2 linked regions of the Callithrix jacchus genome follow. Each later gene encodes a partner of the first gene's protein in a complex. Links are inferred from orthologs where the notes say so. Each region holds a gene or a part of one and is shown on either strand. Other genes may lie near its edges. The genes, in order: TNNI2 and TNNC2.

The links.
Region 2: the proteins of TNNI2 (region 1) and TNNC2 are in contact, whole or in part, in a crystal structure (PDB 1A2X), measured with the Oryctolagus cuniculus proteins. The link is inferred for Callithrix jacchus from reciprocal best matches to the Homo sapiens genes TNNI2 and TNNC2. Residues at the interface, in NP_001076252.1 of Oryctolagus cuniculus: Glu5, Asn8, Arg9, Ile11, Thr12, Arg14, Arg15, Gln16, His17, Leu18, Lys19, Ser20, Val21, Met22, Leu23, Ile25, Ala26, Glu29, Leu30, Glu33; in NP_001076114.1 of Oryctolagus cuniculus: Ser13, Glu15, Met16, Ala18, Glu19, Ala22, Lys91, Leu96, Glu98, Cys99, Arg101, Ile102, Phe103, Arg105, Ile119, Phe120, Ala122, Ser123, Glu125, His126, Val127, Glu131, Ser134, Leu135, Asp138, Phe152, Met155, Met156, Val159, Gln160.

Annotation. Positions count from the first base shown.
Region 1 is NC_133511.1:130,046,199-130,054,279, reverse strand, and holds TNNI2 (troponin I, fast skeletal muscle), read left to right. Parts: upstream 1-3,499; 5' UTR 3,500-3,554; intron 3,555-4,312; 5' UTR 4,313-4,342; intron 4,343-4,475; 5' UTR 4,476-4,829; coding exon 4,830-5,066; intron 5,067-5,148; coding exon 5,149-5,277; intron 5,278-5,421; coding exon 5,422-5,511; intron 5,512-5,621; coding exon 5,622-5,798; intron 5,799-6,754; coding exon 6,755-6,850; 3' UTR 6,851-6,974; downstream 6,975-8,081. UniProt on the Homo sapiens protein: Troponin I is the inhibitory subunit of troponin, the thin filament regulatory complex which confers calcium-sensitivity to striated muscle actomyosin ATPase activity.
Region 2 is NC_133506.1:41,064,306-41,072,344, forward strand, and holds TNNC2 (troponin C, skeletal muscle), read right to left. Parts: upstream 4,346-8,039; 5' UTR 4,282-4,345; coding exon 4,279-4,281; intron 1,907-4,278; coding exon 1,855-1,906; intron 1,743-1,854; coding exon 1,599-1,742; intron 1,511-1,598; coding exon 1,396-1,510; intron 1,236-1,395; coding exon 1,099-1,235; intron 216-1,098; coding exon 184-215; 3' UTR 50-183; downstream 1-49. UniProt on the Homo sapiens protein: Troponin is the central regulatory protein of striated muscle contraction. Tn consists of three components: Tn-I which is the inhibitor of actomyosin ATPase, Tn-T which contains the binding site for tropomyosin and Tn-C.

The sequences.
Region 1 (8,081 bases):
GCTCTACCTCTCATTCCACACCGCATCGCCGGGACCCCCTGTGAGTTGTGGGACTCCCAAGAGGGGTGTGGGGATAGCCAGCCAAGTGGGGGCTGCAGCTGTCCCCCAATGCGCTGAGCCTGGCCTCCACCCCAGGGCCCAACTGGGCTGTCACTGCTGGTGCCTTTGCCTCGGGTGTCCTCCTCATCTCGGGCCTCCTCTGTGCTGTCTGCTGCTGCTGCCGCTGCCACAGGAAGAAGCCCAGAGACAAGGAGGCCGTGGGCCTGGGCAGTGCCCAGGGCACCACCACCACACACCTGGTGAGGAGCGGCTCCTCTCCCGATCAGTCCAGAGAGGGCAGCTGGAAATCCAGGCTCCAGAGCCCAGGACAGCTAAGTGGCCTCAGCCCCAGGGACACTTTACTCCCCTCGAAACAGGGGTGACGAGGGCCTTCCTGGTAGGGAAGGTGGGTGAATAGAGGTGAGGAGGAGGCAGCATGAGAGGGGCGGCTCGGTGGGCCAGAGGGAGCCACAGCAGGTTCTTGAGGAAAGCCGGGGTAAACAGATACCACATTTGGTGGGTTTGGTGGGTCTCACAGAGCGAAGCTGAGGGTTTGTGCCTGCCGGGTGGCCTGCCCAGAGGTGGGGGTCTTGACCCATGTCCTGCAAGTGCTTCCCGGGAGCCCAGGGCTCCGATGGGGCATTGGCGGCAGCAGCAGCTGGCCCATGTCCGGACCCACCAGGTGCAGCCGGATGTGGAGAGTCTGCAATCCAGCCCGGCGGCCGCTCAGCAATGGGGGCGCCTGCAGCTCTCCCTGGAGTACGACTTTGGAAGGCAGGAGGTGAAGGGCCGCCGGTTCTGCAAGTTTCCGGAAAGGGTGATGGGTGAAGGGCCAAGCCTGTGCCCTGGGTGGTGGGGAGCCGACAGGGCAGGCCCCTTGGCTGAGCCCACTCCCCTGGCTCTCAGATCAGGGTGGGCCTGAGGCAGGCAGCCGACCTGAGGCCCGGGGGCACCGTGGACCCCTATGCCCGGCTCAGGGTCTCCACCCAGGCTGGGCACAGGCACGAGACAAAGGTGCACCGAGGCACGCTCTGCCCCGTGTTTGATGAGACCTGCTGCTTCCACGTGAGTCAGGGCTGGGCGGCTGGGCGGCTGGGGGCGCTAGGCTGGGGCAGAGGGCCTGGCTGACACCGCTGCCTCAGGTCCCGCAGGCGGAGCTGCCAAGGGCCACCCTGCAGGTGCAGCTTTTCCACTTCAGGCGCTTCTCGGGGCACGAGCCCCTGGGTGAGCTCCGCCTGCCACTGGGCACCGTGGATCTGCAGCATGTTCTGGAGCACTGGTACCCCCTGGGCCCACCGGCTGCCACTGAGGTGAGGCACGAATCACCAGGCCACAGACCCTCCCGCAGCCCAGGGCAGAGCTGGCAGGGACCCTGCCCTGTGGGACATGGGAGGGACTGAGGCCTGACGGGCAGCAGCTGTGGGGGCCTGAACCCCAGCTTGGCCAGAGGGGCCCTCCGGAGCTGAAGCCCTCTCACTGCCCGCAGCCCGAGCAGGTGGGGGAGCTGTGATGCTCCCTCCGGTACGTGCCCGGCTCAGGCCGTCTAACCGTGGTGGTGCTGGAAGCCCGAGGCCTGCGTCCAGGACTGGCAGGTGAGGGTCACATGTGCCCATGCTGGTGTACAAAGGTGGGACCCTGTGCACAGCCCCAGCCCGGGTCAGCGTCTCCACCTCCGGCCCCTCTTGCCTGCCCAGAGCCCTACGTGAAGGTCCAGCTCATGCTGAACCAGAGGAAGTGGAAGAAGAGGAAGACAGTTGGCAAAAAGGGCACAGCTGCCCCCTACTTCAACGAGGCCTTCACCTTCCTGGTGCCCTTCAGCCAGGTCCAGGTGGGCTGCTGGGAGGCAGGGTCAGATCAGGACCCAGTGCCAGACCGTGCTGACCAGTCTTTGTCCCCCAACCCCGCCCCGTGGCTTGTCTCTGTACAGAATGTGGACCTGGTGCTGACCATCTGGGACCGTGGCCCGCAGCTCCGGGCCGAGGCCGTGGGCAAGGTGCATCTGGGTGCCCGGGCCTCGGGGCAGCCCCTGCAGCACTGGGCGGACATGCTGGCCCACGCCCGGCAGCCCGTCGTCCAGTGGCACCCCCTGCGGCCAGTCATGGAGGTGGACCAAGCGCTGGCTCTGCAGCCCCGCCTGCGCCTGCCCCTGCCCCGCTTGGGAACACACCATGGGCCTGGGTCTCCCCGCTGAGCCCGGCCACTTGCCCAGGCTGCCCTGCAGGACCACTGCAATAAACGCCTTCTCCTGCCACTGTGTGTCCAGCTGGAGCCCCAGGGGACGCAGACACAGGGCCCGGCTCCACTCACCAGGGTCCCCCACAAGGATGGGGGAGGGGCTCCTCTCCAGGCTCAGCCAGGCCCTGAGGCCTCTGACCCAGCCCTGCTGGACCTCCGGGTAGGGGTGAGGAACCTCCCCAGGAGCACAGATCTGTGCCCCCCTCCCCCGGCCCTTCACCCTGCCCCTGCCGTCACCTCCTGGGCCCCCTGGGAAGACGGGGAGGTAGGGTCCAGAGAGTCAGGCCAGCTGGGATGGGGCGGGCGGAAGGCAGCCTTGCAGGACACAGCTCGGCCGGGCCTTCCCCGTGTGAACAGCAGGGGGCAGCAGATGCCTTCGGAAGCCGCTGAGGCCTTTAGGGGCTCCGCCCTGGCCGCTTCCCCTCTCCGTCCCCCACACATCTGGGCTGCCTTAGCGGCTGGAGCCTCCACGCTGCTGTCTCCTCTGATCCTCCCCATGGGGTTGGGGCCAAGAGCCCCCGCTCCGAGAGGGTGCCAAGTCACGGTCCCGGGGCCTCTGCAGGGTGGGGGCTGCGGAGCTGGGGGGAACGAGGGCCTCGGGCCTGGGTGAGAAGGGCAGTGCCGGGCCTGCCCGGGCAGCCAGGCGGGCCCCAAGCCCCCTCGGGTCAGAAAGGCTCCCAACGCGGGTGGCGCCACCCTCCTTAGGCTGAAGGATGTGTTCCAAGTCTCCGGAGGGGACTGTGGCCAGGCGTTCCAGGCAGGCTGGGAGGGGCCCAGTGCACGTACAGCAAGCCCCTCAGTCCCAGTCCTGCTCCCCAGGCAGGAAGCCGGCTTCACGCGGGGAGGGGGCAGCCCCCAGCCCTTGGCCGCTGTGGCAGGGCCCGGGAGGCCTCACCCCAGGAGCCAGGCTTGCAGAAGGGGGTCAGGCGTGGGCTGAAGCGGGGAACGGCCCACCGCAGGGGCCCGGTGGGGGAGCGGGCCCAGCAGAGAGGCTGTGGCTGAACCCAGCGGGCAGCCCGGTCGGCGAGCTGGACGCTGACCTCGGGCGAGGTGGGGTGAGGTGCACATCCTTGAAGGGTGACCCCTCGGCTGACCTGAGCCGTGTGCCCGGCCGATGCCACAGGCAGAGCCAGGCACCAGTGTCCTCAGGCCCCTTACAAGAACCGCAGAGGCGTCTCCAGCACGTCACCGAGCCCTAAATAGAGCCGCCCAGCCGCGGTGCCCCATCAAGACTTCTTGGACTGGGTGGCAGCACGCGGCCAGGCCAGGAGGCCGGACAGGTGGGGAGGTCTCTGTGGCTTCCTCGCCCCCATTGGTCTGAGGAGGACTCCATGCCCTTTCTGAGCAGGGGCCCAGCCTGGGGGAGGCCATTTATACCCCTCCCCCTGGGCCCACCATCCCAACTCGCCACCACCGGCCTGACCTCACGCCCAGCCCTGCTGCCCAGACTCTAGGTGAGGCCCAGCCTGGCCTGCCGAGGCTGGGGGACAGGGCATGGCTTGAGCTAGCTTGAGGGAGGACTCCCTGAGGCAGGGGTCTGGGGGTCGAGGGTGCCACCAGCAGCCCCCTTTGGGGGCCTCCGCAGACCGGGGAATGACAGGGAGAGGCTTGGGGAGGCAGCTCTGGCTGGAGGCAGGTCTTAGACAGGCCCCGACGACCAGGCTTCACCTCTGGGGACCCTGGAAGGAGAGTTTTGGAGTCAAGAAACCCCCGAACCTGAGCCCCCGGGCCACACTGAGGAGCCAAAGATGGAGGGTTAAAAATAACAGCGTCACTCAGGCGGCCACCTGCGCTGGCCCGTCCCCCACCCTCAGGGACAGCTGCAGCTCCTCAGGCTATGCCTGGGACATTTTGGGAACACTTTCTCCTCTTACTTCTCACCCTGGGGAATTCCAAGACGTTGTCCTTGAAGGGGGTCACAGTAAGGGGTGGGGTGGGAGGGGGGCGTCAGGGGAGGCCTGCACCCTTTACCAGCTGCTGGGCGAAGGCGTCGTGGTAGCCAGGCCCGGGCGACACCTCTGCCTTCCTCTCCCCGCAGGCTCCAAGCTCAGGACCTCAGGATGGGAGAGTAAGTGTACCCCCACACAGTGCCCCTGCCGCCTCCCGCCCCGTCCACCCCATCACGAATCCCACCCTGACGGCCATGGCCCTAACCTCTCTCTTCTCTCCCTGCCCGGCCTGTGTTCTCCCTCCCTGGACAGTGAGGAGGTAAGTACTTGCTGGGGGCACAAAGCATGGTGGGAAGGGGCTCCCCCACTCAGGATAGGTCACACGTTGCAGCCTCAAGGCCCTGAGACTCAGGGAAGATGGCCCCTGCCCTCCCTGCTGGCAAAAAGTGCCCCACCCACCCACCAAGAGAGGAAGTGGCTGCGCCGTGCCTTCTGGCCAGGGCAAGTGTGGCTGTGGCCTGGTCACAGGGAATCACTTCTTCTTTCTGATTCCTGCACTTCCCGCCCCAACCTTGCCAGCCAACCTGCCCCAGACCGGCCCTGTGGCCTGACTCCTCTCCCCCAGCCCCTGCCCCCCAGCACTATGTGCCACCTGGGCAAAGTGTCATGCACCACACAGCGCCCTGTCCCAGAGCGAGGTCTGGGCCCGGGGAGGCTGGGCCTCCCCATCATGGTCTCGGGAGCCCCCAGGCTCCGCTGGTCCCTGGGCAGGAGCCCCCGACCTGGCCAGGGAGTGTGGAACGGGGTCGGGGGGGTCCAGGCCCGGAAGTCCTGACTCTGTCCCCTGTCCCTGCCATGCAGAAGCGGAACAGGGCCATCACGGCCCGCAGACAGCACCTGAAGGTAGGTGTGGGCACCTGGGGGGCTGTCCGGGTGGGTCTGCGGGGAGAGCCAGCCCAGCCCCTCACCACCTGCCCCGCCGCAGAGCGTGATGCTCCAGATCGCGGCCACGGAGCTGGAGAAGGAGGAGAGCCGCCGCGAGGCCGAGAAGCAGAACTACCTGGCGGAGCACTGCCCACCACTGCACATCCCGGGCTCCATGTCCGAAGTGCAGGTACTGCCAACCCCCCGCAGCCGGCCTGCCTGCTGCCTCGGTTTCCCCACTTGTCAAGAGGGCCAGCCGGGTGGTCAGGGCAGGGGCCGGTGACCGTGGCTGCAAAGTGTCAGGATGGCCACCCGCCCCCACGCCCACCCCTAGGAGCTCTGCAAACAGCTGCACGCCAAGATTGACACGGCTGAAGAGGAGAAGTACGACATGGAGGTGAGGGTGCAGAAGAGCAGCAAGGAGGTGAGTGACGGGGATGGGCAGCGGCCCCCAAGGCGGGTGGGCGGACTGGCAGGGGCAGGGAGCTGAGGCCACTGGGACCTCGGGTCCTCACCTGGCTCCCGTGCCCACAGCTGGAGGACATGAACCAGAAGCTGTTCGATCTGCGGGGCAAGTTCAAGCGGCCCCCACTGCGGAGGGTGCGCATGTCGGCCGACGCCATGCTCAAGGCCCTGCTGGGCTCCAAGCACAAGGTGTGCATGGACCTGAGGGCCAACCTCAAGCAGGTCAAGAAGGAGGACACAGAGAAGGTGCGTGCCACGGGGAGCACCACCCACGCCCACCCTGCTGGGGGAGCACCACCCATGCCCACCCTCTCCCTGGGGAGCACCACCCATGCCCACCCTCTCCCTGGGGAGCACCACCTACACCCACCCTCTCCCTGGGGAGCACCACCCATGCCCACCCTCTCCCTGGGGAGCACCACCTACACCCACCCTCTCCCTGGGGAGCACCACCCATGCCCACCCTCTCCCTGGGGAGCACCACCCACACCCACCCTCTCCCTGGGGAGCACCACCCATGCCCACCCTCTCCCTGGGGAGCACCACCCACACCCACCCTCTCCCTGGGGAGCACCACCCATGCCCACCCTGCTGGGGGAGCACCACCCACACCCACCCTCTCCCTGGGGAGCACCACCCACACCCACCCTCTCCCTGGGGAGCACCACCCACGCCCACCCTCTCCCTGGGGAGCACCACCCATGCCCACCCTCTCCCTGGGGAGCACCACCTACACCCACCCTCTCCCTGGAGAGCACCACCCACGCCCACCCTCTCCCTGGGGAGCACCACCCACGCCCACCCTCTCCCTGGGGAGCACCACCCACGCCCACCCTCTCCCTGGGGAGCACCACCCATGCCCACCCTCTCCCTGGGGAGCACCACCTACACCCACCCTCTCCCTGGAGAGCACCACCCACGCCCACCCTCTCCCTGGGGAGCACCACCCACGCCCACCCTCTCCCTGGGGAGCACCTCCCACACCCGCCTTGTCCCTGGGGAGCACCTCCCACACCTGCCTTGTCCCTGGGGAGCACCTCCCACACTCACCCTGCTATGGGTCCCAAAAGCACACTGCCCTGCCGGGTGCCCTGCACCACTGCCCCTCCAGGGCACTCTACAGCCCAATGCAGAGGGGAACCTGAGGCTGAAGGTGGTGTGGACCAGGGTGCGCCTGAGCTCTCTCCTGCCCCCACCCCCAGGAGCGGGACCTGCGAGACGTGGGTGACTGGAGGAAGAACATCGAGGAGAAGTCGGGCATGGAGGGTCGGAAGAAGATGTTCGAGTCGGAGTCCTAGGCTCCTCGTCAGCCCACGCCTGCCCGGGGCCCAGCTCCCAGCAGAGCACACCGGGGGCACGCACCCAGAGCCTGCCGTGGAGGGCTGGCCTTGTGTCCACTGTCAATAAAGGATCTGAATCCCCTTGGCTGGTCTGGTCTGGCTCTCCCCAGCCTCATTGGCTGTGCTCTGGGCCCCGGTCTCGGTGGCCTGCGGTATGGTCAGTGGCCAGTGGGGAAAGCCTGGGAGGAGGCTGCACGGGGCCTGAGGGTTTCGGCTTGGGAGGGAGGCTGCTTCCAGCAAGGAGGTGAGTCCGGGAAGGCCCTGCAGGGGAATCCACCCACTTGGAGAACGTGGAGGGGTGCACCTGCAAAGTGGGCCACGGGATCTCGGGCTAGGGATCAGCACAGGCTAGGGATCAGCATGGGATCTCGGGCTAGGGATCAGAGACCGGCCTGGTCTCTCGTCCTTACTGCCACCCTGAAAGATAGGCTGTGTCACTCTTCACCACACCAGGGAACCAAGAGACTTGTGCCCACCAGCGACCCCAACCAGGCCCCAGTGTGGCCCCAACTCTCCTTTCCACTCTGCCCCAAGACCCTAGCCCCAACTGGCCACCAAGGACAGGGCTCTGACAGGCTCTGACAAGGCTGGTGACAGCAAGGCTGCCTTGTTATCAGTTGCGCTCTTCGAAGGCTACCAGAGCAGGCACGCCAAGGTCCCTCTGCTCAGATCTTCGCTGAGGAGACGCCAGCCCGCGCTCTGCCCTTGCCCTCTGGAGGTCCTGCTGATTGATCTGCCGGAGGTAGGACGTACATCGGCAGTTCCGCCTCTGGCTGCCTTGAGGACTGACGTCAACGGGCGCCCGGGATGGCCTTGGCTGTGTACCGTCCCCCGCCCCGCAGGCATCCTCCAGCCCTGGCATTCAGCTCTGACCTTTACCGCAACTGAAGCCCCACGCCAGGCTGAACCCCCACCCGGGCCTTCTCCTGGAGCCCCCTGTAGGGGAAGGCCAGGCCACTAGCGTGAAGCAGCACAGCTTGGGGCCAGGGGTGCACAGCCTGGTGGGTGTAGCTGGGGCAGAGGTGCAGGGTGCCCCACACCGTGATGATGGGCGCAGCCCGGGGTGGAGGGGGTCATGGGGCACAGAAGTGTGGCTTGAGACCTGGCCTGTGGGGGAGACACTGCTCAAGGCCGAGCCTCAGCTGAGCCTGATGGAGGACAAGGGGTGCTGCAGGCCGGGGTGTGCCCG
Region 2 (8,039 bases), on another chromosome or scaffold:
CAGCCCTTGAGACCTGCTGTCTCTGGGGTTCTTCCCTCATTCAGGCAAATTTTGGAACATTTGCTTTTATTCCTTCCAGAAAAAGACCCATGAGGGGCTGCACTTCCCTGGTGGGGACCCGGTGGAGCGGAGTCTCCCAGGCCTTAGGGATGCGTGATCTTGGTAGAGGTGACTGTCCACTCCTTATTGCACACCCTCCATCATCTTCAGGAACTCTGCGGGAAAGGAGAGGGAGCGGGTCACAGGTCCCACCTGGGGATGCAAAGGTCAGGCCAGGGCTCCAGTCATTCAGAGGGGATGACTTTTTTGTTTGTTTTGAGACGGAGTCTAGCTGGAGTGTAACCCAGGCTGGAGTGGAGTGGCAAAATCTCAGCTCACTGCAACCTCCGCCTCCCAAGTTCAAGCGATTCTCCTGCCTCAGCCTCCCGAGTAGCTGAGACTACAGGTGCATGCCACCAGGCCCGGCTATTTTTTTGTATTTTAGTAGAGATGGGGTTTCACCATGTTAGCCAGGATGGTCTCAATCTCCTGACCTCATGATCCACCCACCTCTGCCTCTGAAACTGCTGGGATTACAGGCCTGAGCCACTGCACCCGGCCTTGTTTTTTGTTTTTGTTGAGACAGGGTCTCACTCTGTTGCCAAGGTCTGTCACCAAGGCCTGTCGCCCAGCCTAGAGTGCAGTGGCACAATCACTGCAGCCTGGACCTCCTGGGCTCAAGTGATCCTCTCACCTCAGCCCCTGGAGCAACTGGGATCACAGGAGACCCCTGGCTTTTTATTTTATTTTTGTAAAGACAGGGTCTCACTATGTTGCCCAGGCTTGTCTCAAACTCCTGTCCTCAAGTAATCCTCCCGGCTCGTCCTCCCAACGCGCTAGGATTTTACAGGCCTGAGCCATCGCGCCCTGCTGCCTGGTCGTTAACTGATAAACTGCACGGAGTCGTGGAGCACTTCTATACCAACACTTAGGAGGAACTTGGTGAGGTGACGCCCAGCCCCGCCCACAAGGCCAGCGACAGCGCACGGGAGCCAGTGGCACCAGTACCCGCTGCCCCTGTGGCTCCCACCCTCTCTCCCAAGCTGCCGCGGCCCTCACCATCGAAGTCAATGCGGCCATCGTTGTTCTTGTCCCCGTCTTTCATCAGAGATTCGATCTCTTCGTCCGTCACATGCTCTCCAGAGGCCCTGAAAATCTCAGCCAGCTCCTCCGCGTCGATGTAGCCGTCTGCGTTCCTTCGAGTCCGAGGGATAGGGGAGGGCTCAGGACCGGGGCGAGTTGCCCTGGTTACGCTCGACACCCCGTCCCCACACCCCCAACCCGGGAACCTTCCGGCGCCACCGGTCGGGCTCTGACTGCTCGGCCCCTCCCTTGGCTCCCAGGCCTCCAGCACACCTGTCGAAGATGCGGAAGCACTCGGCCAGCTCCTCCTCACTCTTCCCCTTTGCATCCTCTTTCATCTGGCGCACCATCATGACCAAGAACTCCTCGAAGTCAATGGTGCCGCTGCCTGCGGGGAGCAGGTGGTGGACTGAGCCTGAGCCCGGCCGCCGCTGCCTCTCCCCACCATCCCCTGCCTCCGAGGGCCAGCCGCTCACCGTCCTCATCCACCTCCTCGATGATGGCGTCCAGCTCCTCCTTGGTGGGTGTCTGGCCCAGCATCCTCATCACGGTGCCCAACTCCTTGACGCTGATGTCCCCACCACCATCAGCATCAAACATGTCAAAGGCAGCCTTGAACTCTGCGAGGGAGAGCAGAGGGCAGAGGTGAGGATCGCTGGACTGTCAGCCTCACACCTACCCCCCAACCCTGCCGGGAGGCCAACTGCTTCCCAGCCTGCCGGCCTCACTCACCAGCGATCATCTCCTCGCTGAGGTAGGACCGGGCCTCAGCCTGCTGGTCAGTCTGCAGGAGACACAGAGAAAAAGTCAGCTGAAGAGGTAACCCTAGAGCAGCACCTCACCTCTACCCCATTCACCCCAACCCCCACTCTGCCAGCGCCCCTTGGTCCTCCAGAAGAACAACTTCAAACTCGTCACATATTTGTGTGCCCCCACAGCACCCAATCAGTTTTGTTTTATTCAGAAGACAAGGTCTCGCTCTGTCACACAGGTTGGATATGTAGTATGATCACAACTCACTGCAGCTTTGACCTCCTGGTCTCAAGTGATCCTCCTGCCTCAGCCTCCTAAGTATCTGGGACTAGTGTACACCATGCCTGGCTAATTTTTTAAATTTTTGGTAGAGATGGGGTCTGACTATATTGCCCAGACTGGCTTAGAACTCCTGGGCTCAAGTGATCCTCCCGCCTCAGCCTCTCAAAGTGCTGGGATTACAGGCTTGAGCCACTGTGTCCAGCTGCTGACCCCCGTTTTTTGTTTTTGTTTGCTTGAGACAGAGTCTCACCCTGTCACCCAGGCTGGAGTGCAATGGCAGGATCTCGGCTCACTGAAACCTCTACCTGCCAGGGTCAAGCAATTCTCCTGCCTCAGCCTCCTAAGTAGCTGGGATTACAGGTGTGTGCCATCATGCCCAGCTGATTTTTGTATTTTTAGTAGAGGCGGGGTTTCACCATGTTGGTCAGGATGGTCTCGAACTCCTGACCTCAGGTGATTTGCTCACCTCAGCTTCCCAAAGTGCTGAGAGCCACCGTGCTCAGCCTGGCACTAGTTTTGAGAAAAAGAGAGGAGACAGCAAATTAAGCCCAAGGCCTTCTCACTTGTCAATTGAAGGCCAAGTCAGGAATCCCCCCAGTGACCTTAGGCAAGTCACTTAGTGTGCCTTCATCTCTTCTCTGTAGCTTTTCAGGGATGAGATATCAGGGGTGTGAAAGGGCTTTGTAAAAGGCTAGCACCATTCCAGCAGTATTTTCCAGTTTTCTCTAGCTCCTAATGGTGCTCAGTACTTTAATAGTTGCTCAATAAAATGTTTGTTCTCAGATAAATAATAATGCAACACAAGCCGCGCACAATGGCTCACCCTGTAATCCCAGCACTTTGGGAGGCTGAGGCAGGTGGATCAGGAGGTCAGGAGTTTGAGACCAGCCTGGCCAACATAGTGAAACCCCGTCTCTACTAAAATTACACAGAATTAGCCGAACGTGGTGGCGGGCACCTGTAATCCCAACTACTCAGGAGGCTGAGGCTGGAGAATCACTTGAACCTGGGAGTCAGAGGTTGCAATGAGCTGAGAGCACGCCATTGCACTCCAGCCCTGTCGATAGTGTGAGACTTCAACTCAAAAAAAAAAAAAAAAAGGACACAAAGTTATTGAGCACTTGCTGCATGTCAGGCCACAGATCAGGCACTGGGACCACCAAGAAGAGACCGAGGATACATCCTCCTGCCCCTCAGAGAACTGGCGGAGTCGCAGATCAGCTTCCTTCTTAGGATTCAGTCATTGGAGAAAAGGCCTCTCATATTGGGCAGAATGTGAGGGGGGCCTTGACATGAAAGTGAGATTTCTGTGGGGGCTTCCAGGTCATATCCAAGCCAGACCATCTGGGTCGGAGGCTTTGGGCTGAAGCTGGCAGTAAGGATGGGGTGAGGCTTCCAAGGAGCTCTTCAGCCGGCTGGCCGCTGGCCCTCCTCCTTCTCCCCCTCCTTACTCTCTTCTTCTTTCCCTGTGCCAGGAGGGCAGGCTATTTTTAGTCAGGCATGGGCAACAGCAGCTGGCCTCTGGGATCTAGTTACTCCTTGAGGTGAAGTGAGGAGGGGATTCTCAGACGAAAACCACAGCACCAACTCAGAACCCCCTCTAGGAGAGCAGGGTTTCTCTAATTCTGGTCTGTCATCTTCTGTCTCTTCCCATCGTCCTCAGGGGTCCCGGAGCCCCTGTATCTGAGTGGGCCCCACGCCCTGCAGGCCTCTCATCTTCTGGAGGAGCCTTTCTTCTCTCCATGATGGTAGGAGGGTTTGGCCAGGAGTCTGGCTCACCCCTGCCACTGGCTTGCTGGGTAACTCACTCTGACCCCTCAGGGTCCCCACTATGTGAAAGAAACATAGCTAAGAGCTCTTCACAGGTCTATGAATGACAGTGCTGGAAGTTTCCAAAGGTGCATAGGCAGTCAGCAAGCCTTGACCATCAATCTCTGGAACACCCCAGCCCTCCCCTTCCAAGAAAAGTCAAAGGCCTTCCTCCAAGACACCTGGGTTCCAGGAACCTCCATGCTCCAACCTCACACATCCAAGTTACTGCCCCACAGAGCACCCATGCCTGGCCTCAAAGATGTCCAGAGTGTTCCCGTGAGTGAAGCCGCAATCCCTTCTTGTCCTTACCATGGTTGCTGGTGACCGGGTCTCCTCTGCTGCAGGTCACCTCCTTTGCACTCCACCACCCAAAGATGCCCTGGCCTGCTCTAGCCCCTGGGATTTGTAGGGGCACCCTCCCCTCCCACCTCCCTGCTCCCCAGCACTGGATGCCCTACCCAATCAGATCCTGGTGTCAGTGAGCCCCACCCCACCAAAGGTCTGAACCCATTACCTAATTTAGCCAAGGGCCCTTGCAGAGAAATTTAAGCCTCCGAGCAGGTGGCAGGCCTTGACGTCCCAGATTCTTGTGAGGAAGGCCCGCCCTGTTCCACCGCCTTGGAGTCCCCCTGCTCTCCCCCTCTCACCAGGGAAGCACACTGGCTCCAAGATGGTAAGGACAATCAGAGTAGTAAAGAGTGAGGCAGCACAGTAAAATGAGGAGAGTACAAGCCTTGAAGTCCAAAACCCAACATTCAAGGCCGGCCTCTGTGAGCTGTGTGACCTTGGGCAGGTCGAAATGCCTCTCTGAGTCATTTCCTCGTCTGTAGGATGGACCTCTCTGTGCAGTCTCCCTCACAGAGAAACCACGGTAAATGGGAACCCAGGTATAAGTCACCTAGCTTAGGCCAGGTATACAGGGTTAGTGCTTGGCAAGAGGAATGTCCTGTCTTTGAACCATGGTGAGGGGTAGGGGATAGAAGGAGGAGAAAGTGACAGCTAGGCCACTGTTTACTGAACCTCCATGACGTGCCATACACTGTGCTAAGTATTTTAACATGATCTCATCTAGTGCTCCTCCTATGAGATAGCAACTATTATTATCCCCATTTGACTGCAGAGCTTTATAAATCATAAAGGTCTATACTTGCTCTGTCACCAAGGCTAGTGTGCAATAGTGCTGTTACAGCTCACTGCAGCCTCAGTCTCCTGGGCTCAAGTGATCCTCCCACCTCAGCCTCCCGAGTAGCTGTGACTAGAGGTGCACTACCATCCCTGGTTTTTTGTTGTTGTCTGTTTTGTTTTATTTTTGTATTTTTTGTAGAGATGAGGTTTCACCATGTTGACCATGCTGGTCTCGAACTCCTGGGCTGAAGGGATCCTTCCACTTTGGCCTCCCAAACTGCTAGAATTATAGTCATGAGACACCATGCCCACCCATGTTGATGATTCTTCTTTTTCTTCTTTTTTTTTTTTTTTTTGAGACGGAGTTTTGCTGTTGTTACCCAGACTGGAGTGCAATGGCACAATCTTGGCTCATCACAACCTCCTCCTTCTGGGTTCAAGCAATTCTCCTGCCTCAGCCTCCCAAGTAGCTGGGACTACAGGCGTGCACCACCATGCCCAGCTAATTTTTGTATTTTAAGTAGAGACGGGGTTTCACCTTGTTGACCAGGATGGTCTCGATCTCTTGACCTCATAATCCACCCACCTCGGCCTCCCAAAGTGCTGGGATTATAGGCGTGAGCCACCGCGCCTGGCCCTCTTCGTATTATTTTTTGAGATGGAGTCTCGTTCTGTCGCGAGGCTGGAGTACAGTGGTGCGATCTCGGCTCACTGCAACCTCCACCTCCTGGGTTCAAGCAATTCCCCTGCCTCAGCCTCCCAAATAGCTGGGACTACAGGTGCATGCCACCACGCCCAGCTAATTTTTTTGTATTTTAGTAGAAACGGGGTTTCACCATGTTGGCCAGGATGGTCTCCATCTCCTGACCTCTTGATCTGACCACCTTGGCTTCCCAAAGTGCTGGGATTATAGGCGTGAACCACCACGCCTAGCCCAAATGATTCTTATTATGAATTCCGACTGGAGGAAAGTTGGGACACTGTCCTTTGGGTACCTGTGCAGATAGAAAAGTGTATGGAGGGGAGGGATGGAGGAGAGGAGGATGTGCATTTGGAGGAGAAATGATCATTGAAAGCAAACACCCTTCTTTCAAAGTTACCTTCTCCAGGGAAAGGTGGTTTGGATTCACTTTTAGGGGTGGCGAGTTGGCAGGGGAAGGTTCTTTAAGTGGTAAAAGGGCAGCTGGCCCCTTCCTAGAGCTCAGTGAAGAAATCTGGTCATCTAGGGAGTAAAGGGGTGGGCAGATCAAGTCCAGAGGGATCCCACCCTCAGAATCCACGAGGTGCATACTAGGCACTGGGGAGTAAGGCAAGGCTTGTGGACAGTAGCTACGTCGACAGAAAGAGCACCAAGACAACCGATAGCAGGCTCCAGGGCCAGGAAAGCGGGGCTGGACACCAAGGAAGACAGATGGACAGTGGCAACTGGGCTTCCCCTATATATAGACATTCCCAAGGAAAGTTCAGCAGGGCCATGCCAAGCTAGATAAGGCCTCCCCAGGCAGGCAGGGAGCCAAAGGGTGAGACCCATGGGATTCCAATTCCAATTTGGTTATTTTTGCTTTTTGGGTTTTGTTTTTGAAATAGAGTCTCACTCTGTCACCCAGGCTGGAGTGCAGTGGCACAATCTTGGCTCACTGCAACCTCCACCTCCTGGGTTCAAGTGATTCTCATACCTCAGCCTTTTGAGTAGCCGGGATTACAGACACATACCACCACACCTGGCTAATTTTTTTTTGAGATGAAGTCTTGCTCTTGTTGCCCACGCTGGAATGCAATGGTGCAATCTGAGCTCACCACATCTGCCTCCCAGGTTCAAGTGATTCTCCTGCCTCAGCCTCCCGAGTAGCTGGGATTATAGGCATGTACCACCACGCCCAGCTAATTTTGTATTTCATGTAGAAACAGTGTTTCTCCATGTTGGTCAGGCTGGTCTCAAACTCCTAACCTCGGGTGATCCACCCGCCTTTGCCTCCCAAAGTGCTGGGATTATAGGCATGAGCCACTGTGCCCAGCCAATTTTTGCATTTTTCATAGAGACAAGCCTTCATCATGTTGGCCAGGCTGGTCTCGAACTCCTGACCTCACTCAAGTGATCCTCCAGCCTCCCAAATTCCTGAATGTGGCCAAGCAAGGTCCCACTGGCCCTTCTAATCTCCCTGCTCCTCCCCTCCACATTGTGTTGCTGTCTGTTCTGGTCAGACTTTAAAATACTACTCTAAACACCACCTTTTACGAACCTTCAGGCCTTTGCATATGCTGGTCTTTTCTGCCAGAAACTCCCATATTCCCTCCCTTCATCTGTCTACTTCCCTATCATCTTTCTCAGCTCTAGCGTCACTTCCTAGGAGATCCTTCCTCCCCTATGTCCAGGCTGGGGAGTCCAAGGTGGTCTCCAGTAGTTTCCTCAATCAGAGCACTGAGCATGCCTTATGATCACCACCCATTCTATGTTTCATAGACCATCATATTTTCCAGTACTCAGCACTTGCCACATAGCAGGTGTTCAACAGATATTATATTCTACATAAGAATAACTGGGCCAGGCATGGTGTCTCACACCTGTAATCCAAGCACTTTGGGAGGCCAAGGCAGGCACATCACCTGAGGTCAGGAGTTGGAGACCAACCTGATCAACATGGAGAAACCCTGTCTCTACCAAAAATACACAATTAGCTGGACGTGGTGGCACATGCTTATAATCCCAGCTACTCGGGAGGCTGAAGCAGGAGAATCACTTGAACCTGGGAAGCAGAGGTTGCAGCGAGCTGAGATCGCACCATTGCACTCCAGCCTGGGCAACAAGAGTGAAACTCCGTCTCAGAAAAAAAAAGAAAAGAGGAAAGAATAAAAGAATAACTGAACTGGATGGTATTTAGTTCAGTATAAGGGGGAACTTCCTAATAGTCATAGTTGAAAATGGGAACAGGCAGCCTCAGAAGGTA